Linked DNA regions of Mus musculus. The protein of the gene in region 2 interacts with the protein of the main gene of each other region in a pairwise test. Links are inferred from orthologs where the notes say so. Each region holds a gene or a part of one and is shown on either strand. Other genes may lie near its edges. The genes, in order: Rfx6, Nedd9 and Nfkbia.

Region 1 (4,167 bases), on a different chromosome or scaffold from region 2:
TCAGATATAACTGAGACAATATCTATAAATGTCTCTAAACACAACCTACAATCCAAACCCTATAGTATAGATCTAGCTATATAAGTTTTGAAAATCTGGGTAGATTTCCACTTAACTTCAACTACATGTAATGTAATAAATAAAATCTGTGTTGCACTCATCTGAATGACAACCTAGAAACCAAAGATTTTAGATTCTATTTCCCCTTTTTCAAAAATGTCAGTAAATTATTTTTACTAAAATGCATTTATATCAATTTCATGTTTAATAAAACATAATTATTTACAACACAAGAGCAATGTAATATGCAGTATCAGTCAGAATAAAATTGGAGAAAATCCTTTAAGACTTTGGATACATTCTCTCTCTCTCTCTCTCTCTCTCTCTCTCTCTCTCTCTCTGTTTTTCGAGACAGGGTTTCTCTGTATAGCCCTGGCTGTCCTGGAACTCACTCTGTAGACCAGGCTGGCCTTGAACCCAGAAATCCACCTGCCTCTGCTTCCCAAGTGCTGGGATTAAAGGCGTGCACCACCACTGCCCGGCTGGATACATACTCTCAATGCACACAAAATAAACCTAGGGGACCTGTTTCATAAGGTTCAGACACTAAATTATTTTTTTAATTAAAAAGATCCAAACCAACTGGGATATAGTATTTCAAAACAAATAAATTTACCTATCTAAAATTGAATAGCTAACTGACAATAAAAGCTGGAGGTAATAAGTCACATTTTTACTTTGATTTTCAGTTCTAATTTTTAACACTCCAACTCAATTTTACAGCCTCACAGATTTCTCAAAATTCAAGGAACTTGGGGTATTTTTTTTTTAAATCTACAACATTCATTTTCTTCAGAAGATTGGGAAAATGTGCTCTATAGTCTTCAAAAATGAACAATCTTATGAGAAAGAAACAGCTATTTAAATTTTCAGTTTAAAGGTAGGAATGTAATACCCACAATCCATTTATTTGGGTAGTTATTTTTATATTTATTGTTTTCCCTTCAAAACTCTGAGTTAAGCTAGACATATGTATGTATGAATTTTGAAACACTAAAGATTGTTTCCAATTACTCAATTTGAACTGAAAACCTGAGAGTAATCACTCAAAATCCTTTAAAGTAAATTCAAAATTAAACATTATTTTCCAAATATCCTGATGACAGTAGTTGTTTCCTAAATATTCCAGATAATTTCTTAATTATTTACAGTTTTGGGGTATATTCAAGTAGTAATCATGACAGCAAACTTTATCTATTAAAATGTAACTTTACAGGCATATTTATTTTCTATTTCAGACATTGAAAGGGTTCAAGCATATACGTTCAGAACGTCAGGCTATAAAAATTAGAACTTAATGTTTAAAACAAAAATGCAGTTTACAAGTATTTATAGATTTTATTTTTCTAATTCTTAGATAATAATATAGGAGAGAGAGAGGGAGAGAGAGAGAATATAACTTACCAGTAAATAGTCTTTATTACTTGGAATTGGGGGGAAATCTTGTCCCCCAAATGCTTCACATTATGCAACTGTTCTTAATGACACGTTCTTATTTAAGTATCTTTTTCGTTTGCAGAAAGTATTATAAAACACACTTCATATGTAGAAGACCTACTGATTATTTCTCAATTTTAAAAGACTTGGGGCAAAAAGTTAATTTGTGGTGTTTTACTATATTAAATCATGTATGCACTATGCTGTAAAAACTGAAAATTATTTAATCATGACTGCTTGAGTGATTTTTTTTTTCTGTTTTGTACTTTTAACTCAATCCATCTGTTTTGACTGACACAGTACCTGCCCTCCTATGGATTAAAACAGAGTTAAACGCCTTCCATTTTTCGCTGTTCTGAAGGATCATATCTCGAAAACATAAAAATATCAAAGAAATATATTTTATGTTCAGCAAACAATCACAGAAAAATTCATCACAGCTTACATGTGAAGAACCTGTGGCTTTAGCTTTTCGTCAGGGTCAGAATAGGTCTCTGTGTGCATATGCAGTGCAAGAAAACAGGTGCATTTGTCGTGGGTCTTTTAAACTTGTGGAAGTTTTAAGGAGAAGCAAGTTGAGGAAAGCCAGGGTCTTAGAGACAGGGGCTGGTGGACGTCAGCCAGTGCGGGTGACAGGACCAGCTTACCACTGCAGGGTGAGCTGAGTCTGCTTCTTCTTATCCTTCATCATCTGCGTGATGCTCTTCTTCTGAGAGAGCTGTGGGTCGGCTGCTTTGGTCTTGCTCTCCTGGGTGTCCGCATCCTCTTCTTCCGAGGAAAAGTTGCCGTTGTTTAACTGCATTTCTGAGGGCGAGTGTAAGGAATGACAAAGAACAAGGGAACACGCGGATCAGTCCAGAGACCTCCACACCCACCTTGCTTTGCACCCAAGGAGGAGCAAGGAAGGAGTTGAGCAAAACCCTCATAGTTAACAGTGTTCCTGCTGAAACGAAATGGTTCCGACAGAGCATCCTACTTTATGTGTATTCAGAGTGCTTCGTTTTTATTCTTGGACACCCTTAGGACTCAGCACCGCAGCCGGGAGAGTGGAGCACTCACCTGATTTAACTCCCACCTGCAGCCCGGGATCTCCGCCTTTCTCACCGCTGCTCCGAGCGCCCGCGGCTGTTTCAGCCAGCAGGTAAGCACTGTCCTCAGGGTAGACCAGCAAGCCCTTGCCAAGCAGCTGCGCGCAGCACTCCTCCGCGATCTCGGAGGGAAGTTGGGGCGAAGGCTGCTCCTGCACGAAAGCTTCCTCCAGTTCCCGGACCTTAGCCATCCTTCCCACCGCCCGGATCTCGGCACGCCGCCCGGGCTTGAAGGAGCTCTGTGTAGAGCCCAGAGCCCCGGGGCGGGGCGGGGCGGGGCTGGGGAACCTGTGGCCGCTGGGCAGGCTCCAGAGCCCCCGATGGTGGAGAGGGGACAGGGTGAACAGGTACCGCACAGATGGCAGGGTGGAGGAGGGCGGAGGCGATGCTGCCTTTTTCCCAAGTGTCTTGCTCGGTCTGGGCAGAAGCTTGCTCCCAGTTCACTTCCACATTGGCTGTCAGTCACACCGAGCACTTTCCCCTTCGTTTGTTCTCTCTTGCCTAATTCTAGACCCAGGACCATTTCTCAACTGAAAACTTCCTGAAGGATCCTATAAAGCTCAGCTCTTTTCTCTAGTGGGACAAGCAACTTCACTTTTCCCCATCAATTCTCAGGAGACTAATCGAGGCACCTGCCTGGTCAGCCTTGACTTGAGTATCAGGTGGAAGTGAACAAAACCCAGAGTACCCTTCCCTGGTCTTTGCACCGCCTGGGTCAGATGTATTCCCAGAATAATGCAAGGATCGAAGAGCACCCTTTTCAGTGGCTGGAAGACAGAGACACTGCTCTGTATTTTGGGTACTTAGGTCTCACATCCCTCTAAACTATTGAGGTTGGAGGAAAAGATACCATTCAAACTTGCATGTGCATCACTTACAATTCCTCACTTCATGCCCAGCAGTGGAACGAATATTTTCTGAAATTTAATAATATCTCACTCCCAAATGACAAAACCTGGGTTTGTTTCGAAGTAAGTTGGGCTTTCTATGAAGAATGGAGCTGGGTGGAGCTTTGGGATCCGACTGCCTGGCTGACTCGCTGTTTTTTTCTTATTCTATTCTCTGTTCTTTGGACAAACAGGCCCTCCAGGAGAAGGAGGGATCCTGCCTTGGTTTCCATTGCCTCATCTCAGCTAATCCTGTATCTTTTGGGGGGAGATTAGAAAGCGACATCACCTTTGAGTTTAGCATGAAATAACATTAAACTGAAACCACAGAGAGAAAGCAAAATGAGACCCAGAGTGGCAGCTGACTAAAGGGACAATTACAGCAGCAATCCAACAGAGAGAGCAGCCTTTCCCAGGGCAGGTCAAGCTGCGCTTATGTGACTGCTTCCTTTTCAGCAGCACTTGCTGGGAAAGGCCTCACTTCTCCCAAGCTCATCTCACCTGCTTCCTTTGGATGCTGGACATCGGCTGTAGCCACACACTTTCCCACACATTCAATGTTCCCTACCTAGGATTGTTAGTCTTCTCTGCCTACTCCTCTGAAAGCCTCCCAGCCTGCTTCGTGTGTAGGACTTTTCTCTTTAGTGCTCAAGTGTACAGTATGCTACCTTTCCAGAGACACACTCAGGGGTGTT
Region 2 (3,536 bases):
TTTGCTTTGGGGCAATTTCTAAGTATTTTTTTGGGGGGTTGCCTCTATTATTCTAACTACAATGAGTGGCATAAAAGAAAGAACAACATTCTAGTTCATCACTTACCTTTTTGCTTAGAAGGGGTCCATTAGTGCCGCCAATGTTCCTCTGAACTGATGGTGGTACTTGATATACATCTTGTTCTGGAGTGCCATGGCCAGTGGGTACTTGGTAAATTCCCTGATTCTGGTAGGAGGGTGGCACTTGGTAGATGGTATCCCGAGATGCTGCCTGGGAATTTGGCACTTGATAGAGTTTCTGTTGGCCAAAGGTCTGATGCATAGGTCCAGGAGTAGGCTGCTCATGACCGGGGGTCTCTTGCACTGGACCAATCAGAAGCTTCACCCGGTTCCCTGGGACAATGCCTTGGCGACCGTGGAGGGAACACAGCCACCATCCCTCAAGCCCTCCTGTGTTCTGCTCTATGACAGTTAAGATGTCTCCCTTGCGGAAGGCCAGCTCCTCAGCACACTCAGGGACGTTGTCATACAAGGCCCTTGCCATAAGATTCTGGGAAGGGAAGAAGAGAGGAACAGGGTTAGAGTGTTAGGTCTGTCTTTTTAGCACTTATACAACCCACACTTTTAGGGACAGGCACAGTTCCTGGAAATAGAGAAGAAATATGAACACTAGCCTGTCAGAAGGAACTTAGAGGGTTCAGACAAAAGATAGCCACAGCCACACTGTGTCTTCCACCAGTGACATCAGATGGACTCCTCCAAAAAGCACAAAACAGAAGAGATTTCCCTCCAGTGCTGGGTGCTTTGCCAAGGAGCTGGGCTGGCATTGCTAACGAGTTAGGAAGGGGTCACTGGGCAAAGCATTTTTCTAACTTTTCAAAGTCAGCTGGACGGGAAGAATGTTCCAAGCTGTTCAGGCGCCACAGTGAGCTGCCCTCAATACTAAAAAAGAAAAAAGAAAAGAAAAAGCTGCTCATACGCCACAATGCTTCTATATATTCTAGACCCCGCCCCCAAATGAGTCAAAGAAAATTCTAAATGACACATACTACAAACAGAAATTTTATTCATCATTGCAATGTAACTAGAAGTACATACACATAATTGTGCCTTGGCAGAGCCTACCATATCTTTTATGATTAAGGAGGCCTTGGATGCAGGAAGAATCTACGTGCGAAAGCATAGGGATAGGCTACAGTAATCAAGCAGGGACACAGTGTGATAGCAGTCTGTCTAGACAGATCCCACCGTGGAGAGGTACTCGGCAGGAATACATTGGTTCATAGGCTGGGTCTCTCTTGCACCTCTCTGAGGGCCCTTCCTTTCCCAGTAGGCCACCACGTAGTCACCTACTTAAATCTCGCCATTCACATCTGAAAGGCTGTGCCTTCCTTTCATGGACTCAGAACACTCTCTGTCTTTGTATGAAGGCCTGTCTGGCACATTTAGTCCTCGGCAGACAGCTAAAGTAGGCATTGAGCAGAGAGTGGGCAGGCAGTCTGCGCTGACATTCCTGGAAGGCTTTCAAAGGCTCTGAAGATTCTCGGCATACTGGCAGCCAGTCCCGCACGCCTGCCCCTTTCCCAGAGTGCAGACAAGTGGGGGGAACATAGGGAACCCAGCGCAAGCATCGGAAAAACTAAATGTGACCCCTCTCATGTGTCACTCGAGCGTCTGGATGCACTTAATGTCACTGTGGCGAGGAGTCATTTGCGGAGCGAAGGACTGCCGCTTGGCCGGAGTATGCTTGGGACTTTATTTCACACCATCGCATATTTGTGGACTTCGGGGCTGCTTTTCTTTGGACTCTTGCCTCCGCTTTCCTCTCCAGAAATGTGGACTTCATCTTCCAATCTCATGCTTTTCATTTCTTTAAGACGGACATGCATTAATCATCTCCTGCCCCTGGACTCTGCCTGAAACCACAGGCCTCGCAGTGTGAGGCGCACTCTTCTGGGGAGGGGCTGTGTATGAGAGGAGGGGTCTGCTTCTGGTCGCGAGGCTGGAGGAAGTCCAGTTCCACTCACTGCTTTGTGTTTTTTGAAGTGATAATACAAAATTTATTTTGTTTTCATTACATTTTAAATTATTTTAAATTTCTTTCATACTATATATTTTGCTCATATTTTTCCAAGTTTTCTTAGATCCTTCTCATATCACACTACCCAATTAACTTTCCTTCCTCATCCCCCCCCTCCTGCAACCCCCCCCCCCCGAAGCAACAACAAAACCATGGTATATGTTTTCATTGTGTCTTGCCTTGGTCAACTACTCCCAAGTCTTCTTTTTCTTTAAGCATACATACTTTAAAGACATACACTTTAAACATATATATGTATACACACACACACACACACACACACACACACACTTGCTATACTGCCCCGGCAGGCTGGACATAAGAAATCCTCCTGCCTCAGCCTCCTAAGTGCTGGGACTACAGGTACATACCTCTGCAGCTAGCCAATCATCTTTTATCATGAATACCTAATTTTAGGAAGAGAGATTAGAGCCACAAATAGCCGTCCCCCAGGGAACTTAGGATAAAGCTGAAATCACTGGTAGATGCGATCTGTTTGAGATTAGCTAGAAGGGAATTCGGAGCTTTTGTGTTAGGTGAAGGTTTTACTTAGCAGTTGTATACTAGGAAACACTGGATTCCTTCTAACGCTGAAAAACTCACAAATACAACGATAAAGTCAGGCCACATGCTTGCTTAGTTTTTAGAGCCATTAAAGAATGTGCCAGGATGCTTAGATCTCTGTTTCTCCCCATCCTTTGAGTGTTCTATCACTGTAAAAAGGGGTCATAGGTTTAAAGAGGACAAGACTCTGGTCCTTTTTGTATCAAATGACCTCAGGGAAGGGACTCCGTAGGATTCCGATTTCAGAGCTTAGATGGAAGAGCTGACTCTGGTCTGGGCCCATTCAAGAACAGGGGATGGTAGCAAAGGAAGTCCCTACACAGAATCAGAAGTGATCAAGTTGGGGGCAACCCTATGGGACCAGAAGACTGATAGCTATGCAATCAAACAGGCTTCAAAGAAAAGAAAGAGAAGCAAGAGAAGACAGCAGACGGGCAAAGGACTGCAGCTCAATCGACCGCAATCAGCTGGAGGCGTTCGCTGTTGGGCCTCTTCCAGGGTCTGGAACACCGTGAGGTACTGAGTGGAGTGTTGCGCCATGCTTGATTAGACACAGATACAAATCCCCGGGTGAGTCTGCTAGATATGTTTTGTCTTCTGTCCCAGTGACCTTCCCACCGCCTGTTTAGCTGCAGGCTCATGCCTGCACAGGAGCCTAAGGGAAGTTCCTAGGATAGCCCCAGAGTCCCCTCAACCATTCAAAAGTGGGCACATCTGGTGAATTCTCCTGCCTCCTTGCCCACAACATCTCTCCGGTCTTCTCACAACAGACAGAGAAAATGGGATTTAGAAAGAACTTGACCCAGCGGTTGGGGAGCAAGGACCTCACACTGCTCCACCCCCACCCCCAGGCCAGGCTGACATCCATTCATACCCCGGTACACATCAGCCT
Region 3 (4,288 bases), on a different chromosome or scaffold from region 2:
GAAAGGCAGAGCGTGGAATTGAGATGTCCTGCTCATGATCAATCTCACTATGTCCCACTCAATTACACTTGCAGATCCAACTTGCCACTGAGAGGAAAAGGAGAATTCGCTGAGGAAGTTTTAACTTTAACCTGGCCCTTACTGTCTGGAGGCTTTTTGGTTTTTCCTGGATTTTGAATCTTTTCCCTCAGTGTCTTCACATGCATACTCAGGGGGAGGCGCTGGAATTCCAAAGAGAGGAAAGCTGACATAAGGCTCATTAAGAAAAAGATCATTCACATCTCACCAGAAATCTATGCAGAACTAGAGAGGCCTCCTGGATCTGGTCTGACAAACTCTGATCCACGTTGCTTTAATTTTCCCTAAGTAGGGGTGGGGTGGAAGTAACATTTGTACTTTTGCCGGTTAAACTAGAGGCTCACAGGCCCAAATCCCTTTCTTGGGGGAGCAGCTACCCATAATGCCGCGGTCCCTTGGGAGCAAGGAAGCTGATAGAAGCAGCAGGTTTCAGATGGGGTCTGTGTTAGGACTATCTTGAGCCTCCTGCAGGATACCTCACAGTTACTTTTTTAGCTATGTTTGAGAGGCCAGCCTTGGCTAGGGCACTAAGTCAATTGCTCTGCTAGGCATTCACAATAAGCTCCGGCTTCATTCTCTGCAACAAGTTAACTCCGACAGCAAGAACGCAACAGTTGCGGTTGCAAGGAAACTACAACTTCTACTAAGATTAACAGCTTGCATTACTTGGGGAAAAATGTGGTTCCCATACGGAGCTAGGATTTGCCCCTCCCCCGGGGGGGGGGGCAAGATTATTGACCCCTAGGAAATAATCTAGGGGTTCTCCAAGCTCTTGGTTTTTGTTGGTGGTGGTGGTGGTTTTGTTTGTTTTAATGCCAAAGTTTTTACAGCTTCATGGAGTAGGAGTGAAGGACAGCCAAATGTCCCTGCATTGCAAAGGGCCTGGAACAGACAAAACACAGCCGGCCCCGGAACCACTCATATGTCCGTCGTCGCAGAAATTTAGGAGAAGCGAATCCCTGCACCTAGCCAGCGTTTCCACTCTTGGGTTTTCAAAAAGATCAAAAACCGGAAAAGACCTGCAAACTGGCAAATCGCTAAGAGGAACAGCCTAGCAGGTCTGCGTCCTTGGAAGCTGCGCAGCTTGGGACCCCAAACCAAAATCGCCCGGTGGGAAACCCCAGGGAAAGAAGGGTTCTTGCAGAGGGCTGGGGTTACTGAGTGCAGGCTGCAGGGAAGTACCTAGAGGGAGGGGGCCTGGTCGGGAGGACTTTCCAGCCACTCAGGGCTCATCAAAAAGTTCCCTGTGCATGACCCCAGTGGCTCATCGCAGGGAGTTTCTCCGATGAACCCCGGCCCTGGGTTTAGGCTTCTCAGTGGAGGACGAGCCAGTTCTTTTTCTAGTCTGACTGGCTTGGAAATTCCCCGCGCCTGACCCCGCCCCTGAGAAATCCCCTGCCAGCGTTTATAGGGCGCCGCGGCGGCGCTGCCGAGCCCACAACAGTCAGACCTCGCCAGCCAGCCGCCAGCAGCCTGCAGCCTGCACCCGCTCAGCCCCGCACAGCCATGTTTCAGCCAGCTGGGCACGGCCAGGACTGGGCCATGGAGGGCCCGCGGGATGGCCTCAAGAAGGAGCGCTTGGTGGACGATCGCCACGACAGCGGCCTGGACTCCATGAAGGACGAGGAGTACGAGCAAATGGTGAAGGAGCTGCGGGAGATCCGCCTGCAGCCGCAGGAGGCGCCGCTGGCCGCCGAGCCCTGGAAGCAGCAGCTCACGGAGGACGGAGACTCGTAAGTGGCGCCGGGCACCGGTGGGGGTCGCGCGGGGCCTGCAGCGCGCTCGGGGTTCTGCACGGCGAGGGCGCCGGGGTTGCGGGGCGCCGGGGCTGCGGCGGGCCGCCTGTCTTCCCCCCTCCCCCTCCTCCCCTGTCCCCGGACCCGGAGTCGCCGAGCGCAGGCCGGGGGGGGCGGGGCGGCAGCGGCGGCGAGGACGCAAAGTCCCGGCCTGGCAGCGGTGGCGCGCAGCCGCCGGGCGCCGCGCGGCCGCGAGGGGAAGTACAGGGCGTTCCGGGCGGCGGAGGGCGGGCCGGTCTGGCCGGCGCCCGCCCGGAGGGGGTGGGGCACGGAAAGTCCCTGGGCGGCTGCCAGGAACACTCAGCTCATAATAACCTCGCGGAAAACACCGCGGCCGCGGCCTCCAGAAACCCCGGCCTTGCGCAATCCCCCCTCCAACCCCACCTCCAGCCCGCGCCTCCCCCCCCCCCACGCAGTGTGCTCACCACCCCTCGGGGGGTTTCCCTGTCATCCCTCAGGTTCCTGCACTTGGCAATCATCCACGAAGAGAAGCCGCTGACCATGGAAGTCATTGGTCAGGTGAAGGGAGACCTGGCCTTCCTCAACTTCCAGAACAACCTGCAGCAGGTGCGCTGCTTGCTTGCCCCGCGGGTGCCCTCTTTGACCCCTTGGTGGAGTCAGATGTAGCACGGTCGCCCCCAAAGCGTTTCTAAATTAATAGTCACTTAGTTCTTATCTGCCTTGGCCTTTTGCATTCAAATCAGCCAACGTCTTAGAACCAGAAGAAAAATCCCTTGGGTTTAGTGAGGTCTTTATGACCCACCTAGGGCCTCCTGTTTGCCTGATCTCCTAAGAGACAAATGGGAGGATCAGATTCCATAGCGGGAGGTGTCTGGGGTTCAGGAAACTCAAGACTATGGGTTTGCTCCATGGCTTATCCCTTTCTGTTTCCTCTTCCATTTGTAGACTCCACTCCACTTGGCTGTGATCACCAACCAGCCAGGAATTGCTGAGGCACTTCTGAAAGCTGGCTGTGATCCTGAGCTCCGAGACTTTCGAGGAAATACCCCTCTACATCTTGCCTGTGAGCAGGGCTGCCTGGCCAGTGTAGCAGTCTTGACGCAGACCTGCACACCCCAGCATCTCCACTCCGTCCTGCAGGCCACCAACTACAATGGTAGGTCTGCCAGTCCATCCAAGGATGCAGAGGAGGGAGAGAGATGGGGCCACTTGAGTCTTAAACTCCGAACGTATACAAAGTTCAGACACTGTGATCTTTTTAAAAAGTTTTCTCCTCGATGCCTATATGATATTCACTCAGAACCCAGATTCTGAGTTCTTCAAAACTGATGATGTTTGTGGTTGTCCTCAAGACAATAGACATGAGTTGTGTGAGGATTGAAACACGTAGTTACAGTTTTTGTCTTCCTCCTCCAGGCCACACGTGTCTGCACCTAGCCTCTATCCACGGCTACCTGGCCATCGTGGAGCACTTGGTGACTTTGGGTGCTGATGTCAACGCTCAGGTGAGTACATCTCCCTTCCACCTAATCTCTGTTGGGCTGGCTCTGATGGTGAGCAGGTTTCCAGATGCAGCCGTAAACTAACGCCTGATTGCTTTTGGTTTCAGGAGCCCTGCAATGGCCGGACAGCCCTCCACCTTGCGGTGGACCTGCAGAATCCTGACCTGGTTTCGCTCTTGTTGAAATGTGGGGCTGATGTCAACAGGGTAACCTACCAAGGCTACTCCCCCTACCAGCTTACCTGGGGCCGCCCAAGTACCCGGATACAGCAGCAGCTGGGCCAGCTGACCCTGGAAAATCTCCAGATGCTACCCGAGAGCGAGGATGAGGAGAGCTATGACACGGAGTCAGAATTCACAGAGGATGAGGTGAGTGTTCCTCCCCTCAGCACGCTGACGGCTGTTCTAGGGCTGCTTTGGATCAGAGGGATTTCAGTTGTTTAACTTCTCAGACTCGGCTTGCAAAGCCAGGATCCCAAGAATTTGTCTCTGGTTTGTTTTAAGAGCTTACCCTTTTGGGTTGAGGAATGAGGGAATTCTAGAAATTGAACCCAGGCCTTAGCACATGGTGATAAGCACACGTTCAACCATTAAGCTCCACCCCCTCAATAGCTTAGACTTTTTTTTTTTTTAAGGAAAGAATAGGTAAGGGAAACTCCTACAGCCTGGTGCCCTTGTTCTATTTGGGTTAAGGAGAAAAAGAGCCCAAGAATAGGAGTTATTTCAGCAGCAGCTCTCCCCTTATCCCAATGTCTTGGTGAAGTTCTAGGAATTTAATATGTCTTTTTCCCCTCTCTTGTTTTAGCTGCCCTATGATGACTGTGTGTTTGGAGGCCAGCGTCTGACATTATAAGTGGAAAGTGGCAAAAAGAATGTGGACTTGTATATTTGTACAAATAGAGTTTTATTTTTCTAAAAAAAAAAAAAAAAAGAAAAAGAAAAAAAATGAGAA

The links.
Region 1: the proteins of Nedd9 (region 2) and Rfx6 interact in binary tests that used the Homo sapiens proteins (3 or more experiments, as listed by UniProt). The two-hybrid records come from large-scale screens. The link is inferred for Mus musculus from reciprocal best matches to the Homo sapiens genes NEDD9 and RFX6.
Region 3: the proteins of Nedd9 (region 2) and Nfkbia interact in binary tests that used the Homo sapiens proteins (3 or more experiments, as listed by UniProt). The two-hybrid records come from large-scale screens. The link is inferred for Mus musculus from reciprocal best matches to the Homo sapiens genes NEDD9 and NFKBIA.

What each region holds. Positions count from the first base shown.
Region 1 is NC_000076.6:51,676,419-51,680,585, reverse strand, and holds the start of Rfx6 (DNA-binding protein RFX6), read right to left. Parts: upstream 2,827-4,167; 5' UTR 2,777-2,826; coding exon 2,557-2,776; intron 2,302-2,556; coding exon 2,145-2,301; intron 1-2,144. UniProt on the Homo sapiens protein: Transcription factor required to direct islet cell differentiation during endocrine pancreas development. Specifically required for the differentiation of 4 of the 5 islet cell types and for the production of insulin.
Region 2 is NC_000079.6:41,338,471-41,342,006, forward strand, and holds part of Nedd9 (enhancer of filamentation 1), read right to left. Parts: intron 551-3,536; coding exon 107-550; intron 1-106. UniProt on the Homo sapiens protein: Scaffolding protein which plays a central coordinating role for tyrosine-kinase-based signaling related to cell adhesion. As a focal adhesion protein, plays a role in embryonic fibroblast migration.
Region 3 is NC_000078.6:55,489,823-55,494,110, reverse strand, and holds the start of Nfkbia (NF-kappa-B inhibitor alpha), read left to right. Parts: upstream 1-1,463; 5' UTR 1,464-1,584; coding exon 1,585-1,811; intron 1,812-2,332; coding exon 2,333-2,441; intron 2,442-2,780; coding exon 2,781-2,991; intron 2,992-3,251; coding exon 3,252-3,340; intron 3,341-3,444; coding exon 3,445-3,705; intron 3,706-4,141; coding exon 4,142-4,189; 3' UTR 4,190-4,288. UniProt on the Homo sapiens protein: Inhibits the activity of dimeric NF-kappa-B/REL complexes by trapping REL (RELA/p65 and NFKB1/p50) dimers in the cytoplasm by masking their nuclear localization signals.